Lepisosteus oculatus: one gene and its partner. The protein of the gene in region 2 purifies or fractionates together with the protein of the main gene of each other region. This does not show direct contact. Links are inferred from orthologs where the notes say so. Each region holds a gene or a part of one and is shown on either strand. Other genes may lie near its edges.

What was found. Proteins that work in one complex are often made in the same cells at the same time.
Region 1: the proteins of prmt1 (region 2) and protein LSM14 homolog A purify together in Homo sapiens (affinity purification with mass spectrometry; 3 studies listed by BioGRID and IntAct, with this or other methods). This does not show direct contact. The link is inferred for Lepisosteus oculatus from reciprocal best matches to the Homo sapiens genes PRMT1 and LSM14A.

Annotation. Positions count from the first base shown.
Region 1 is NC_090715.1:15,178,355-15,186,805, forward strand, and holds the start of protein LSM14 homolog A, read right to left. Parts: upstream 3,093-8,451; 5' UTR 2,890-3,092; coding exon 2,769-2,889; intron 1-2,768. Other genes in the region: transcription initiation factor TFIID subunit 4-like, read left to right, coding at 5,219-6,560. UniProt on the Homo sapiens protein: Essential for formation of P-bodies, cytoplasmic structures that provide storage sites for translationally inactive mRNAs and protect them from degradation. Acts as a repressor of mRNA translation. May play a role in mitotic spindle assembly.
Region 2 is NC_090702.1:791,635-799,125, reverse strand, and holds the start of prmt1 (protein arginine N-methyltransferase 1), read right to left. Parts: upstream 3,271-7,491; 5' UTR 3,194-3,270; coding exon 3,170-3,193; intron 527-3,169; coding exon 431-526; intron 1-430. UniProt on the Homo sapiens protein: Arginine methyltransferase that methylates (mono and asymmetric dimethylation) the guanidino nitrogens of arginyl residues present in proteins such as ESR1, histone H2, H3 and H4, FMR1, ILF3, HNRNPA1, HNRNPD, NFATC2IP, SUPT5H, TAF15, EWS, HABP4, SERBP1, RBM15, FOXO1, CHTOP, MAP3K5/ASK1, MICU1 and NPRL2.

The DNA.
Region 1 (8,451 bases), on a different chromosome or scaffold from region 2:
AAATTCAGACAGCACATAAAACCTGCATCACTCATGAAGAAACCAGATTACAATTTTGCCAGTGAGCATTTAAGTATTCCCATTACACAACTAAACAATACAGTACAAACTTGGAATTAGGGGAGTCCAGTCTGAAAACATAACTCCAGTTATGTAAAACTAAATCCATTCATCTTGGGTACTTGAGTAACAAGCTTTCCTCAGGGCACGATTTTCCTAAACAGATAGGCGGCCTGGCATGTCCCAGAAGCCAAATCATGATTTAGCCCTTTGGAAGGCTCATATAATTACAGAAGCTCTGCGTCACCACAGGGAGCAAGAATTTCATCAGAGAACCTTCAGCTAAGGGGAGGAGAATCTGCAGGGGTTAAAAACCTCTGAACTGTAATCCCAAGCTCTCACACAGTTAAGAGTCAGGCTCAACATAAAGGTTACACAAGGAAGATACGGCCATCTGACCTATCCAGCTCAGCTGGTCTCTATTAGCTTTGTGATCAGAGAATCTCATCCAGCCCGTCGTTGAAATTCACCAAGACATCAGCTTTGGCAATGTGGCAGGGCACCTTTCTGCAGACATCAACAAACCCTTGGAATAAAAACGTGGCGTCTCCTGTTCAGGTTTAAACGATCCCATCTTTAATTTAGTTCTAATGAGCACTTCCAAAATTTGTATTACATGGATGACTACCAGGTCACGATGCGAGTCCAGACGCAACAAAATAAGCGTTGGTTCTAACCTTACACAAGTCTCAGCCCAGGAGAAATCAAGGTACATCCTCATTTAAACTGTCAGTCCTAACTTAAGCAGGACTTTAAAAACTGTATTCCCAGGAAATGGAGAGAGAACCAAAGAGCCTTCAAGTGATTGAAATAATATTCTGACTACAAGGTTTTCAGAAAAAAAGAGTTGGATTCGCCACTGCAGTGGCTCATGCATAAGCAACAAATAACTTGTAACATCAGCCTGGGTATAATAAATTTCACTTTTAAAGGCTGTCACCAAACAATTAGAAAACCATAAATCTCACACAATTTTTTATTTAGAAAGACACTCAATTGTGACTAGACAACTGCAATTTATTTAAAAAAAAACATCCTTCTAAACCATACATATCACTCGGGAGTTCAAACTCTTGGTCTTTTTGGGGTGCGATCAGTGTTCTGAAGTTCCTTTCAATCGATGCATGCTTGAGATCTGGGAACAAGATTTAAAGGGCCCAGTTCAGTACAGACCTGCCAGAGCCCTGGAATTCAAACAGAAAATACAAACAGAGCCCTCCATGACTGCACTTTGTTACAGTGTATCTAGACCGGGTTCCAACAAGTGACATCAGTTTTACAGCCTCGATTACAATATCAGCACAACCCCCGTCTTATTCTGCTTGGGAAAACGTAAACAAAGGCAAAACATTTCTTTAGAATAATTTAGTGTGAGGTTTGGGGCTAGGCCGTGTTTAAAACTATACCTTTAGGTGTTACACTAAACAGCCGAGCCCATTCTAAACCAGTTCACTTGCTGGTAGACAGGAAAAAGGATGAAACCGGTAGGACCCCCGATTTTATTTATTGCCAACCCACGCAACTGGGAAGGCCGCCGGGATACAGCTAGCCAAGGGAAACAAAAAAACTCAAGTTGCAGGTACAGCGATACCGCATAAACCTAAATGCAATGCCTCCGATTTCACCTGCACTTCTGAAGGCAACGGGAGACAAAAAAAAAACACCACCACACACTTGGAGCTGCCCCAGCTCCGGGCCCGGATTATAACCGGGGTGAAAGGAAGACTCAGCCCAGCCAGCTCACACAAAGAGGCCGACGTCAAGAGCCAGCTGGCGCAGAAAGTGAATATCAGAGGCTTGACGCCGAGTTGCACCGCCCCGGCTCGGCGGGGCGGGCGGGTGTGAAACCGGGGCCCCCGACAACGGAACCGAGCCTCCCCGCCGGTGCCGAGCGCAAACTTTGCCACCCCCCCCAAACGTTTACCGCCATTTTAGCTCCTCGTCGAAACACGGGTGCTCACACCGAGCCGGCTGCGCCGCCGAGGCCTACCCGCCTCTCACCCGAGAGCGGCCCATCCAGGCGGAAAGCCCGAGTCAACAAAGGAAAGGCCGTCTGAGCGCCTCCCCTCCGCCAGACCCGTAAAAGCCGGGGTGCAGGCCCTGCAAACGCACCCGGCGCGGCGCTGGAGCATGGCTGCTCACTTCTTTTATAAACAAAAGGCCGAAGGGGACTTGTTTACAAACCACCTCACCCCTGACCGGCGCTGGCTGTTTCTTGAATTACACGACCTCCCTCCCCCCCCGTCCCCCTTTTGTTGTTCCCCTACAGTCCACCTGCCCACGGTTAACCCCCCCGCCGCCACCACCACCATCACCAGATCAGCTATTTGTTCAATTTCCACCCCCCTCTCCGCCCGGATCTGATCCGTTAACAAAAAACAACAACCACCGAACGAAATAGCAGCTACGACTACGAAGAGCCTGTCGGCAATTTTCGCAGACCTAGAGCGAACTTTTCCCGCAGGTTTCGAGGCCGTCGGTCGCTTAATATATATATATATTATTTTTTTTGAACAACGAGTGCCAACAACACATCGAATAAAAATGTGCTTCGCTCCCCCCCCTCCTCCTCCTCCTCCTCCTCCGCTACCAATTGTGCTACCAGCCGGGGTTTCGTTGCTATTCCCGGAGCCCCGTCGGTGCGGCTGCGGCCGGCGGCTCCCCGTTCCTCCCCCATGACCCCCGCCTCGCTCCCCTCCCCCGGGCACCTTTGGCGAGCGCGACGGTGGAGTTCTCGGTGTCGATCGTGTACAAGATCCCCTCGTAGCGGATCTCGGCCTTCGAGATGAGGCTGATCTTGCTGCCGATGTAAGGGGTCCCCCCGCTCATGGCGTCTCCCGGGTCGGTGCGGCTCCTGCGACGGCGGATGGAAGTGGATTACGGATCGCGGCTCCCGGGCTCACTCCTCGCTCCCTCTTCTCGCACTCTGTTCTTTCTTCTCGGCTCTCCCCCTTTCCTCTCGGAGGTGCTACGCCAACATGGCCGACTTCATTTTTTTTCTCCTTCGCACTAAAACTGCCCGAGGGGCGCAAGCGGAAGTTGTTAAAAAAATGGCGCTCTCGCGAGTTTTCAAGGGGATGCTCCAAAGGTGACGAGAACTCAGTCTGAACACATGGACCTAATGGCTGCAGCTGGCGAGTGGGAGTTAGTGGCTGATTTATAAATAAAACTTCACGTTTTAAGCGCCAGGGTAACAGCAGAAAACTGAATTTGACGTATGCGTAAATAAAATGCACCCGCAGTTGTCTTCTCTTCTAAACGTTTGGCCCCTCACAGTACTGAGACGATCAGAAACACTACCTTCTAAGAGGAATTACAGAAAAGGGTCTTTGGGAATTAGGCATTGATTCAGAAGACAATGCAAAACTACTATATCGTAAAAAATAGAACAAGCAAGAGTGTTTTATGTCCGTATAATGTTTGATTTCTTGTACACAAAATGATATTGTGGTTTATTATATGACTGAACTGAGCTGGTTATACAGAACAATATATTTTAAACCCATGTGTTAATGAATAGTTTAGGGAAAACGGAAACTGAACAGGCTGACAAAAATTCTACTTTTATTGGCAAAATACAGTTTTCACTCATAGCAAATTTGATTACTTTAATCACAATCCTCAATCATATACGTTTTTTTTCTTGCTTCGCTTGTTCATTTATCACACAGCTGCTAATTGTTTAGAAAAAATAATACTGTTACAAAATAAAATGCAATATCCAATAGAAAATAAACATCCCAGAGCAGAGGCAAATGAGCATTTAGGAAGAGCTCTAACAAAATGTATTAACACATCTAAAATTAAATATGATCAGAGTTAAATTATTCTGATGAAATTGCTGAATAATTATCTAAAGTAACAGCACATATATAGATGAATACTTAGTTTACAAGAGTCTGGGATATATTTCAAGGTATGTGTAGGATACATTAGAGAGCATGGGTTAAGTGCAAATGATTGATCACATAAATAGAATATAAAATAAAGACATGCAGCACACTATCAATCACGGCTTATCACAGTTGAGAGGGTATTATCAAGGGTATCTAATCATTGGAAGATTTGGTCAGACATTCAGACATTTACCTTACGGCTTGCTGTGCTTTCTGTATACATTAGTCTGTAGTTGCAGATCTGAAAATATTGCTTTGAATTCTGAAAATAGTATACAATGCTGTATGTAAATTCTAATATAATATTTAGTAACCAAGAAAAAGGTTTGAAAATCTTTTTTTTCAAACTGTGAAACGTTTTATCTAAATTACTAGGAAGGTAATTTGTGTATTATTATTTAAGAAAGTAACATACAATACAGATATGCAATATTTTTTCCTTAGTGGTTTAAATAAATTGCTCTTGGTAGCAGTGGTTTTGAGCCAGGGGTGGTGAGACCACTGGGCCGCCGAACACAACCAAGTGAAACTGAAACACCTCTACGCTGCCAGCTGGTGACCTGCAGTTCTAATGTTAATTACTACTCAGACATTATTTTCAATATGCATACTTTACTTTGACCTTATGTTTTAATCGAGAGTCTTTAAAGTGACAATCAATGAAAGGCGGGCTATTAGAAAGAGCAAAACCTCTGGTTTATGCTGACAGAATGACATAATTCATTTTAGTTGCAAACACAGGACTACAAAGAAATTGACTGAACTATTCAAAATCCTCAAAGACATCGACAAGGTCAACCCCAGTAGACTTCCTCAAAATCAAGTGAGGTTACGAGTGGAAACTACAGGGAAGTGCATTTAACACTGAGACCAAGGAGGCACATATTAACACAAAAGGATTGTGGGAGTTTGGAACGAGCTATCCAACCATGTTGACCAGACCCTCAGATTAATTAGCACATATCGAAAAAGCTAGTCAGAACGGCCTCCTGGCTTCTTCTATCTTTATCACTGCAATCGACACCAGCTCAAGCGGGCGGAAATTTCATATTTGGGTGCTTTGCAAAAAGATAACCCCGTTCCAGCCTGCAGCTGCTCTCACTAGACACCAGCATTTGAACTCTGTTTCCTGCGAAATGAATCGGACTCGGACACAGCGAATGAATTTTGGCGCTCTGACGTCACGCACCGTTCCCACAATGCCCAGCAACACGCCTGCGTAGTGACTACACCAAAATTTGGACAGCGATCTGAGATCAAAGATGGCGGGTGCCTCCGACCCTCTGGAAGATATGCTCTTCTCCGAGGTGGATGAAAAAGCCGTTAGCGATCTGGTGGGCTCCCTGGAGTCGCAGCTGGCCGGCCAAAGCAACCCAGCAGCCCCCCACACCGAAACCAGGAGCGCTGGCGTGACGGGGGCCGCTAATCACCACTTAGGAAGAATGCTACCTGCCCAAGTGGACACTATACTAGAGCAGCAGCAACAACAACAAGGGCAACATAAAGCTGGGGTAAACCAGGAGCCCAACTGTAAAGCACTTAGCTCCGGGAAAACTGTGATACCGTCTTCGCTCAGTTCCATTCCGCCCTTCGAAGAAGCTTCCATCACTTCTGGGACCGGGGTAAATGCTAGTAGTAGCGGGTTGCCATCACATGGAGCATCTAATATCACAACAGTGTCTGCACCTGGTCTGGTAACTTTACCACCTCCGCTGGTCAGCATCAGCCCTGGCAGCCGGGGCACCGTCCTGGGCTCGGGAGGGGCAGCGACGGCGGCGGACCCCCTGAAGAACCACCTCACCTCGACCATCAGGACTGCTCCCGCAGGGATACAGAGTTTGAACGGGAACGGCGGAGTTGCAGTGAACTCTCCGGTCAACCCCGCCGCTCCTGCCGCCGTCGGCTTCCCCGCCGCTGCCGGCGCGGTGACTCTCGTTAATAACGTGGTGAACAGTGCCGTCCCCAGCCCGACCGGCGCCGCCAGCAGCGGCTTGGCCGGGGCGCCCTGTGCGAGCGCGCCCGCCTTCAGCGCTGCCCAGCCCGGCGTGGCCCCGGACGGCTCGGGCACCCTCACGATTGCCCTGCAGAGACCCCCGGGTCACCTCGCGGCCAGCGTGGCGCAGAATGGGAACGGGGCGCCGGCGCTGGTGCAGCAGGTCGCACGGACAGGTCCCCCGGCCGCGGCCGTAGCCCAGCTGGCGAACCACCGCAAGGGCGGGGATGGCAGCGACCCGCCGGCGGACTCCCCTGCGCCGTCTAAAATCATCCTGCCGACCCAGCCTTGCGTGGTCAGTTCCCTAGCAAACCCCGTCAGCTCTCCCGCACCGGCTGTCAACCCGCCGGCGAGTCAGCCGCCGAGCTCGGCGGCCACCTCGGCGCCGGCCGCCAGCAGCCCCGCGGCCAAGCCCGCTGTCAACATCACTACCGTCGGCGTGGTGAGACCTGGGACCCCGTCGCCGTCCGCCGGGATGTCCGCGTCCACGCAGCCCCAGCCCCTCCGCCCGGGGGTGGGCGCGACCCAGAGGATAGTGGCACCGCAGCTGATCGTCAGACCGCCCCAGCAGACCACCATCCAGCTGCCTCCCGGATTCACCATCCCTCCGGGTGAGTCCGAGTGCAGCCGTTTACACTGTCTCCTCTTCTCATTATAGCAGTACGTTATCAGCCAGTGTGAAGTGAGGCAGTTTTTAGTAGCGCTGCCATGTGTATGCACAGCCCTCGGATTCTTCTGGTATGTACAACTATTATTTTTAAAAATGCACGATTGCACTTCTAAAGGGTATAGCTATACTTGCCGGTTAAGTAACTTTGGTCCCACAAACGGAGCCTCCTTATTAGTTGCTGCTGCACAGAAAGCACCTAACCTACTCCTGTACTCATCTTTACCTCATATCAAAAACTAATTCTAGGGAATCGAATGTAATGAAAACTTTATTTTTAAAGATGCCAGATCAAGCTTTCACTGTGCAACCAGGAACAGTATATGTTTTCCATATTTAGAAATTTCAGTCCTACCTGTATGTCCAGTCATTATGCGTCCAGTGCAGAATGAGGTCATATCAATAGTCTGGCAAGGCTACACAGTTCTGGTATCAGAGGTGCAGCTCCTGAACCTCTGAGCTTCTAGATGACAGCAGTGAAGTTTGGCAAGTGACATTTAAAAAAAAAAAAACATAAAATGACGAGTTGCTAAAAAATTAAGAGAAAAATAATTCTGATGAGAGTAAGTAGACATTTTTTTGCACATTTTCATCATTGCACAAGAATTCCACATCTATCTCTCCCTTAAAGGAAGAGGAAAAGTATGATAAACTGCTGTAAGTACAGGCAGCACAGTCGCGTGACCACGTGACGCCACCTGGGACTTTGGTTCAGTGTCAGACTGTCGTACCTTCTGTGTGGAGTTTGAATGTTCTCCTCGGGGTTTCTTCCCAACTTCTAAAGCTTGATGAATGGCCGATGCAGAAAGTATCCCTTTTCAGACCAGCTGAAGGAGAACAGTTTTGAAAGTAGGCGCTAACTCCAGCAGCACTATTCATGAAGGAATCTGTGTGATACATACTTGCAACCAATATTGCAAAACAAGTGCTGCGAACCTCAAATTGCAGTTTGTTCTTAAACTGAAAGATTTTTTTTGTAGCAAGTCAAGTTGAGAAAGTCTTTAAGGATGTACAGCATGTTGATAAGATTTCCTTTCTGCCTAAATTAGATAAAGTTACAGTTATACTTCTTAAAATGGCTTATTTGAAAGGAATGGTCAATTTAGCAAATTCAAGGAAAACAGTTGTTTTAAAAAGTCAGAATTTGAGATACTCCTATGAACCATCAAACAATAAAGTGTTAAAAAATCAACTCCGTTATTTTAGAGATGATGTATGTATTATGTTGTTTTTTTCTCTGCTCCTTTTACCCCAATATGAAATTGCTTTTGCTGTTGAGCCCTAAGTTATTGCACCGTAGAAGTGACTTTGCAGACACGCAGCGATGCTTTTGCTGTTAGAGATTCCAAGACAGAACAGTGGAAGCCGGATCTGCCTCTGTCTCAATTTCCAGCAGGCATCAATTTCTGACTTTTTTTACATGACTGAATGTGCGTGGAATAAAACAAGGTTCCCAAAAGGTTTTAGTTGTCTACGTTTTCTAACCTTTTCTGGTCATAAAAAGTCAGCAGGACTAACCTAAAGGGGTGAAAAGGAAAGGAGACCCTTCAGCTACCCAGGATGCCCAGTAGCTGATTGATCCACGGATTTCTTCCAATTCTTGAAGGATCTCGGGGACTCTGCTTCAGCGGCGTGGCTGGGCGGCCTTTTCCAGACTCCTGTACTTCCTTTTTGTTTCTTTTTTCAGTCCTGAACGCACTTCCACATCTCCTTCGACCCCCTTCTCACTCCGGTCCCTGGGTTGATTTTTGTTCATACTTTTTTTAGATGATAAATATTTGGATTTTTTATTTGCTTTCTCTTCTTTAAAACAAAAATGAGAAATTTTAGGGTGT
Region 2 (7,491 bases):
TACAGTGTGTGATCTCCTGTCCCAGCCTGAGGAACAGACAGTGAGCCCGTCTCTCAATAATAATAATACAGTGTGTGATCTCCTGTCCCAGCCTGAGGAACACAGTGAGCCTGTCTCTCAGCGCTGTGTGTGATGTCTGTCCAACAGCTCGTGGACTGTACCAGTGCTGCAGCCAGCAGGATGAGACGGGACACACCTGTGTCGTCTCTCTGCTGCCCAGGCCGTTTACGGCCGATCTGGGGTCCCGACGGGAGCGCAGTGCCAGTCCCCGAGGAGATCACCTGGCGGACCGCGGACACAGCTCTCCGCGGCCCCCCGAGGTCTCCCCTCAGAAGCCCCGGCGGCTGCGTCTCTCACGCCCGCGAGCAGAGCCTAGCCCCGCCTGTCTCCCGCTGGCGCGGGTCCGAGGGGACCGGGCCGTGGGGCCTACCTCATGGATGCCGAAGTGCGCGTAGGAGTCGAAGTAGTAGTCCTTCGAGGTCATGTCCTCCGCCGAGGGCTTTCCTGAGCTCTCCCCCTGGGACACCTGGACACACAGGGACACGGAGAGAGAGAGACAGGAGGAGGAGAAGGAAAGGAGAGAGAGAGAGAGAGAGAGAGAGAGACAGGAGGAGGAGAAGGAAAGGGAGAGAGAGAGAGAGAGAGAGACAGGAGGAGGAGAAGGAAAGGGGAGAGAGAGAGAGAGAGAGACAGGAGGAGGAGAAGGAAAGGGGAGAGAGAGAGAGAGAGAGAGACAGGAGGAGGAGAAGGAAAGGGGAGAGAGAGAGAGAGAGACAGGAGGAGGAGAAGGAAAGGGGAGAGAGAGAGAGAGAGACAGGAGGAGGAGAAGGAAAGGGAGAGAGAGAGAGAGAGAGACAGGAGGAGGAGAAGGAAAGGGGAGAGAGAGAGAGAGAGAGAGACAGGAGGAGGAGAAGGAAAGGGGAGAGAGAGAGAGAGAGAGAGACAGGAGGAGGAGAAGGAAAGGGGAGAGAGAGAGAGAGAGACAGGAGGAGGAGAAGGAAAGGGGAGAGAGAGAGAGAGAGACAGGAGGAGGAGAAGGAAAGGGGAGAGAGAGAGAGAGAGACAGGAGGAGGAGAAGGAAAGGGGAGAGAGAGAGAGAGAGACAGGAGGAGGAGAAGGAAAGGGGAGAGAGAGAGAGAGAGACAGGAGGAGGAGAAGGAAAGGGGAGAGAGAGAGAGAGAGAGAGAGACAGGAGGAGGAGAAGGAAAGGGGAGAGAGAGAGAGAGAGAGAGAGAGACAGGAGGAGGAGAAGGAAAGGGGAGAGAGAGAGAGAGAGAGAGACAGGAGGAGGAGAAGGAAAGGGGAGAGAGAGAGAGAGAGACAGGAGGAGGAGAAGGAAAGGGGAGAGAGAGAGAGAGAGAGACAGGAGGAGGAGAAGGAAAGGGGAGAGAGAGAGAGAGAGAGACAGGAGGAGGAGAAGGAAAGGGGGAGAGAGAGAGAGAGAGAGACAGGAGGAGGAGGAGAAGGAAAGGGGGGAGAGAGAGAGAGAGAGACAGGAGGAGGAGGAGAAGGAAAGGGGGGAGAGAGAGAGAGAGAGAGACAGGAGGAGGAGGAGAAGGAAAGGGGAGAGAGAGAGAGACAGGAGGAGGAGGAGAAGGAAAGGGGGAGAGAGAGAGAGAGAGAGACAGGAGGAGGAGGAGAAGGAAAGGGGAGAGAGAGAGAGAGAGAGACAGGAGGAGGAGGAGAAGGAAAGGGAGAGAGAGAGAGAGAGAGAGAGAGAGACAGGAGGAGGAGGAGAAGGAAAGGGAGAGAGAGAGAGAGAGACAGGAGGAGGAGGAGAAGGAAAGGGAGAGAGAGAGAGAGAGAGAGACAGGAGGAGGAGGAGAAGGAAAGGAGAGAGAGAGAGAGAGAGAGAGACAGGAGGAGGAGGAGAAGGAAAGAGAGAGAGAGAGAGAGAGAGAGACAGGAGGAGGAGGAGAAGGAAAGGGGAGAGAGAGAGAGAGAGACAGGAGGAGGAGGAGAAGGAAAGGGGGGAGAGAGAGAGAGAGACAGGAGGAGGAGGAGAAGGAAAGGGGGGAGAGAGAGAGAGAGACAGGAGGAGAAGGAAAGGGGGGAGAGAGAGAGAGACAGGAGGAGAAGGAAAGGGGGGAGAGAGAGAGAGACAGGAGGAGAAGGAAAGGGGGGAGAGAGAGAGAGACAGGAGGAGAAGGAAAGGGGGGAGAGAGAGACAGGAGGAGGAGAGAGGGGTGGGCATGAGTTGTGCTGCACACAGGTGACACACTCCCCCCAGGACCCCAGCAGCGCCCCCACTGGTCACACAGCGGACCTGCGCCCCCTTCCCGATCAGCCCTTACCCCGCACGGATGAGTGGGGGGGCACACGTGGGCACCCTACAGCTCCACGCGATCAATCTCATCTCACGCCCACGAACACCAGTGACCCCCCCCACCACCACCAAGCGCGCGCACCCACAACGTGGGAGGCCTCGTGCCCGCCGGTAACAGCGACTGGTGACACGTGAGCTCGCCGCCTCGTGCGCGCGTCCCACCCCCCCCCTCCTCGTCGTCTTTGTGCGTGACCGGCTGGCGCCGGCAACCCACTCATGGCGTGGGTACGCGCCGGCCCGGAACACGCCACCCTGCTTCCCCGACAGCACGAGGGCCCGAACCGCCACGGGGAATAAAGGACACGGACCCACGTGCGCCACCACAGGCTCAGTGGACACAAAGCGCCCCCACGCCACGAGGCGCCCGCCTGGACCTATGGTGGCAGGGACACACGAGCTTCCCCACGCGTGTCGGAATTCACCACCCCACTCCTCCTCCCCACGGACTCGGGCTCAAGCCCCGGGCGAGACCCGTCACGACGCGCCCCACGCCGGGCTCGGGAGCAGATTTCAGGGGCTCGGGGGTCCGGCCCCCCCTGCTCCAGCCGAGCCCACTGCGAGCGGCACCGGGACCGGACCGACGTCCCCGATCCCCGCCCGCTGCGCCCCGCCAGAACCCTTGGGGGAACCGAGCTAAAATGGACGCGGCCGCTCCGGCACGAAAAGCGACCCAACAAAGAGACGCGCTTGGCGCCCCGTCCGCCTCCGCTCCCCGATCCCCCCCGACCCGGACCAGCCCGGCCCAGCCCCTCTTCGCCCGGGTCCCCGGCCCGCGGCGCAGCCCCTGCTGCCCGCCGCGGCTCGGCCCCCTGCCCGGCCCGCACACGCCGCCAGGCCGCTCACCTCCATGCTTGCGTTCTCCGCCATTTCGAGTCTCCGTCTGCTGCTCCGCGGCCCCACACGCACCTTCTGGTCCCGCCCCCCCGCCGGCTCCAAAACCCAGGCCCGGCGCCCTGATTGGGCCACGGCGCTTGGGCCACGCCCACGGGGCGGCCCCTCTTCCGCCAGCGCAGACCTCCCATTGGTCAAACCCCTTGTCCCAGCCCACCGTGCTGGCTGCCTCCGGCCCCGCCCACATCCATGGCGCATTCGGATAAAGCGGCACAGCGATTGGACAGGGGGGCCGCCAGTCACCGCCGGGCACCGCCCACCGGCTTCCTGTCCGCCCCTGGTGAGTCACTCAGCTGCAGAGACTGTAAATCTCCGCGCCTGCAGGGGGAGACCAGTTTCGGGCTCTGCATCGCCGCTCGGCTCGTGTTCCGAACAAATCAGGCAGGAGACAGAAACGTCCGTGCAGTTTGGTTTCATTCGGCAAACTAAAACCTCTCATGTTTTGAAAACGCCGAATAATTGCGCCAGACTGTGTTTTCTGACCCCCAGCTGCGCGTCTTATTGTTCTTACTATCAAGAGTAACTGTTATTTTCAAGAGCAAAAAAAAATCTCAAATGCAGGAAACACGCAGCAGAGTTAAAACAGGAATTTAGCTTTATTTAAACGTGCATCGGGTCTTAAAAATAAAGATTGTCACCACCGTGGATAGAAATGCATAGCCATCCATACCGGCGGGATTTTCTTTAAAGGATTTAAATCCTCCGGAAGGCGGGTCTGTTGCGAGTAAGAGATCAGCTTCTGGTTGATTGACTGGTAACTAGACCAATCAGTGGGCTTCTGCTTCCAGGGAACAGCCAATCGTTTCTGCTTCTGCCGTGGCTCGGCAACAGCCAATCGTCTTCAGGGAGCCGAGCTGAGGGGCGGGTCCTAAGGACTGGTGGGGACCGACGAATATGACGTCATATAGCGGTTTAACAGCAGACAGAGAAAATAATGTTTTATATGGGTCGTCAAACATGTGTATGATGTTGATTGCAATTTTTTTAATCAGCCACTCCCACTGCAAGATTCATGCGTTATAATAATGAAAATTCACAGCACCAACAATAATGTTCTGGGGATATGTCGTGGAGATGAATTAAACCTTCTGCAATCTGATTAATAAGTGCGCATATTACTACAAGTGATATCATAAAGCACGGTACAAATAGTGTAAATCATGTAAAGTCCAGTGAGATCAGGGTAAAAACACAGTATAGTGCAGTAAAGCCCAGTGAGATCAGGGTAAAGGCGCAGTAGAGCCCAGTGAGATCAGAGTAAAAGCCCAGTACAGCTCAGTAGAGCCCAGTGAGATCGGGGTAAAAACACAGTATAGTGCAGTAGAGCCCAGTGAGATCGGGGTAAAAACACAGTACAGCGCAGTAGAGCCCAGTGAGATCGGGGTAAAAACACAGTACAGCTCAGTAGAGCCCAGTGAGATCAGGGTAAAAACAGTACAGCGCAGTAAAGCCCAGTGAGATCAGGGTAAAAGCCCAGTACAGCTCAGTAAAGCCTAGTGAGATCAGGGTAAAAACACAGTACAGCTCAGTAGAGCCCAGTGAGATCAGGGCAAAAACAGTACAGCGCAGTAAAGCCCAGTGAGATCAGGGTAAAAGCCCAGTACAGCTCAGTAGAGCCCAGTGAGATCGGGGTAAAAACACAGTACAGCGCAGTAAAGCCCAGTGAGATCAGGGTAAAAGCCCAGTACAGCTCAGTAGAGCCCAGTGAGATCGGGGTAAAAACACAGTACAGCGCAGTAGAGCCCAGTGAGATCGGGGTAAAAACACAGTACAGCTCAGTAGAGCCCAGTGAGATCAGGGTAAAAACAGTACAGCGCAGTAAAGCCCAGTGAGATCAGGGTAAAAGCCCAGTACAGCTCAGTAAAGCCCAGTGAGATCAGGGTAAAAACACAGTACAGCTCAGTAGAGCCCAGTGAGATCAGGGCAAAAACAGTACAGCGCAGTAAAGCCCAGTGAGATCAGGGTAAAAGCCCAGTACAGCTCAGTAGAGCCCAGTGAGATCGGGGTAATAATAATAATAATAAACTTTATTTTATATAGCGCCTTTAAAGGTGGCTTCTCAAAGCGCTTTACAGGATGACAATAACAATAAATAAGAAGACTACAACAATAAATAAGAAAATTTCACAAGACAGGACACAATTATAATTACAGCAATACAACAATAACAATAGAGGAGACCGTGGAAGATGGTATTAAGAAGAGCAGAGGGGTGAAGAATGGAACCAGTTAAGTAAAGGCTTTTCTGAAAAGGAGGGTTTTGAGTCTGGATTTGAAGGAGTTTAGAGAAGGTGACTCTCTAATATCCTTGGGCAAGGAGTTCCAGAGCTTGGTAGTAGGGCGATAAAAGTTCAGACAGGTATTGAGGTGCCAAGCCATGTAAAGCCTTGTAGGTGAGCATGAGGATTTTAAAGTCTACGCGGAATTTGACCGGAAGCCAGTGCAAGGACTCCAGGATAGGAGTAATGTGAACACTTGCACTAGATCTGGTCAGGATTCTGGCTGCTGAATTTTGGACATACTGCAGCTTGTTCAGAGTAGATTTAGATACCCCAGGGAGCAGAGCATTGCAGTAGTCAATTCGAGAGAATACAAATATGTTGATCAGCTTTTCAGCCACAGTTAATGATAGCATAGGGCGTAGTCTTGCGATATTTCTAAGGTGAAAAAAAGATGTTTTGACAGTATGCTGTACATGTGGGTCGAATGTTAAGCCAGAATCGAATATAACCCCAAGGTTTTTCAATTTTGATTGGAGCTCAAGTACAGAGCCATCTACAGACAGGGTTACAGGACTGGCTTTACGAAGTTGATGGGGGGTACCAATAAGCATGACTTCAGTCTTGTCACAGTTAAGATGAAGGAAGTTTTGAGTCATCCAAATTTTTATGTCAGAGATGCATAGATGTAAAAACACAGTACAGCGCAGTAGAGCCCAGTGAGATCGGGGTAAAAACACAGTACAGCGCAGTAGAGCCCAGTGAGATCGGGGTAAAAACACAGTACAGCGCAGTAGAGCCCAGTGAGATCGGGGTAAAAACACAGTACAGCTCAGTAGAGCCCAGTGAGATCGGGGTAAAAACACAGTCCAGCTCAGTAGAGCCCAGTGAGATCGGGGTAAAAACACAGTACAGCGCAGTAGAGCCCAGTGAGATCGGGGTAAAAACACAGTACAGCGCAGTAGAGCCCAGTGAGATCGGGGTAAAAGCCCAGTACAGCTCAGTAGAGCCCAGTGAGATCGGGGTAAAAACACAGTCCAGCTCAGTAGAGCCCAGTGAGATCGGGGTAAAAACACAGTACAGCGCAGTAAAGCCCAGTGAGATCGGGGTAAAAACACAGTACAGCTCAGTAGAGCCCAGTGAGATCGGGGTAAAAGCACAGTCCAGCGCAGTAGAGCCCAGTGAGATCAGGGTAAAAACACAGTCCAGCGCAGTAGAGCCCAGTGAGATCGGGGTAAAAGCACAGTCCAGCGCAGTAGAGCCCAGTGAGATCAGGGTAAAAACACAGTCCAGCGCAGTAGAGCCCAGTGAGATCGGGGTAAAAGCACAGTCCAGCGCAGTAGAGCCCAGTGAGATCAGGGTAAAAACACAGTCCAGCGCAGTAGAGCCCAGTGAGATCGGGGTAAAAACACAGTACAGCTCAGTAGAGCCCAGTGAGATCAGGGTAAAAACACAGTCCAGCTCAGTAGAGCCCAGTGAGATCAGGGTAAAAGCCCAGTACAGCTCAGTAGAGCCCAGTGAGATCGGGGTAAAAATACAGTACAGCTCAGTAGAGCCCAGTGAGATCGGGGTAAAAACACAGTACAGCTCAGTAGAGCCCAGTGAGATCGGGGTAAAAACACAGTACAGCGCAGTAGAGCCCAGTGAGATCGGGGTAAAAACACAGTACAGCTCAGTAGAGCCCAGTGAGATCGGGGTAAAAGCACAGTACAGCTCAGTAGAGCCCAGTGAGATCGGGGTAAAAACACAGTACAGCGCAGTAGAGCCCAGTGAGATCAGGGTAAAAGCCCAGTACAGCTCAGTAGAGCCCAGTGAGATCAGGGTAAAAACACAGTCCAGCTCAGTAGAGGTACAGCTCAGTAGAGCCCAGTGAGATCAGGGTAAAAGCCCAGTACAGCTCAGTAGAGCCCAGTGAGATCGGGGTAAAAACACAGTCCAGCTCAGTAGAGCCCAGTGAGATCAGGGTAAAAGCCCAGTACAGCTCAGTAGAGCCCAGTGAGATCGGGGTAAAAGCCCAGTACAGCTCAGTAGAGCCCAGTGAGATCGGGGTAAAAA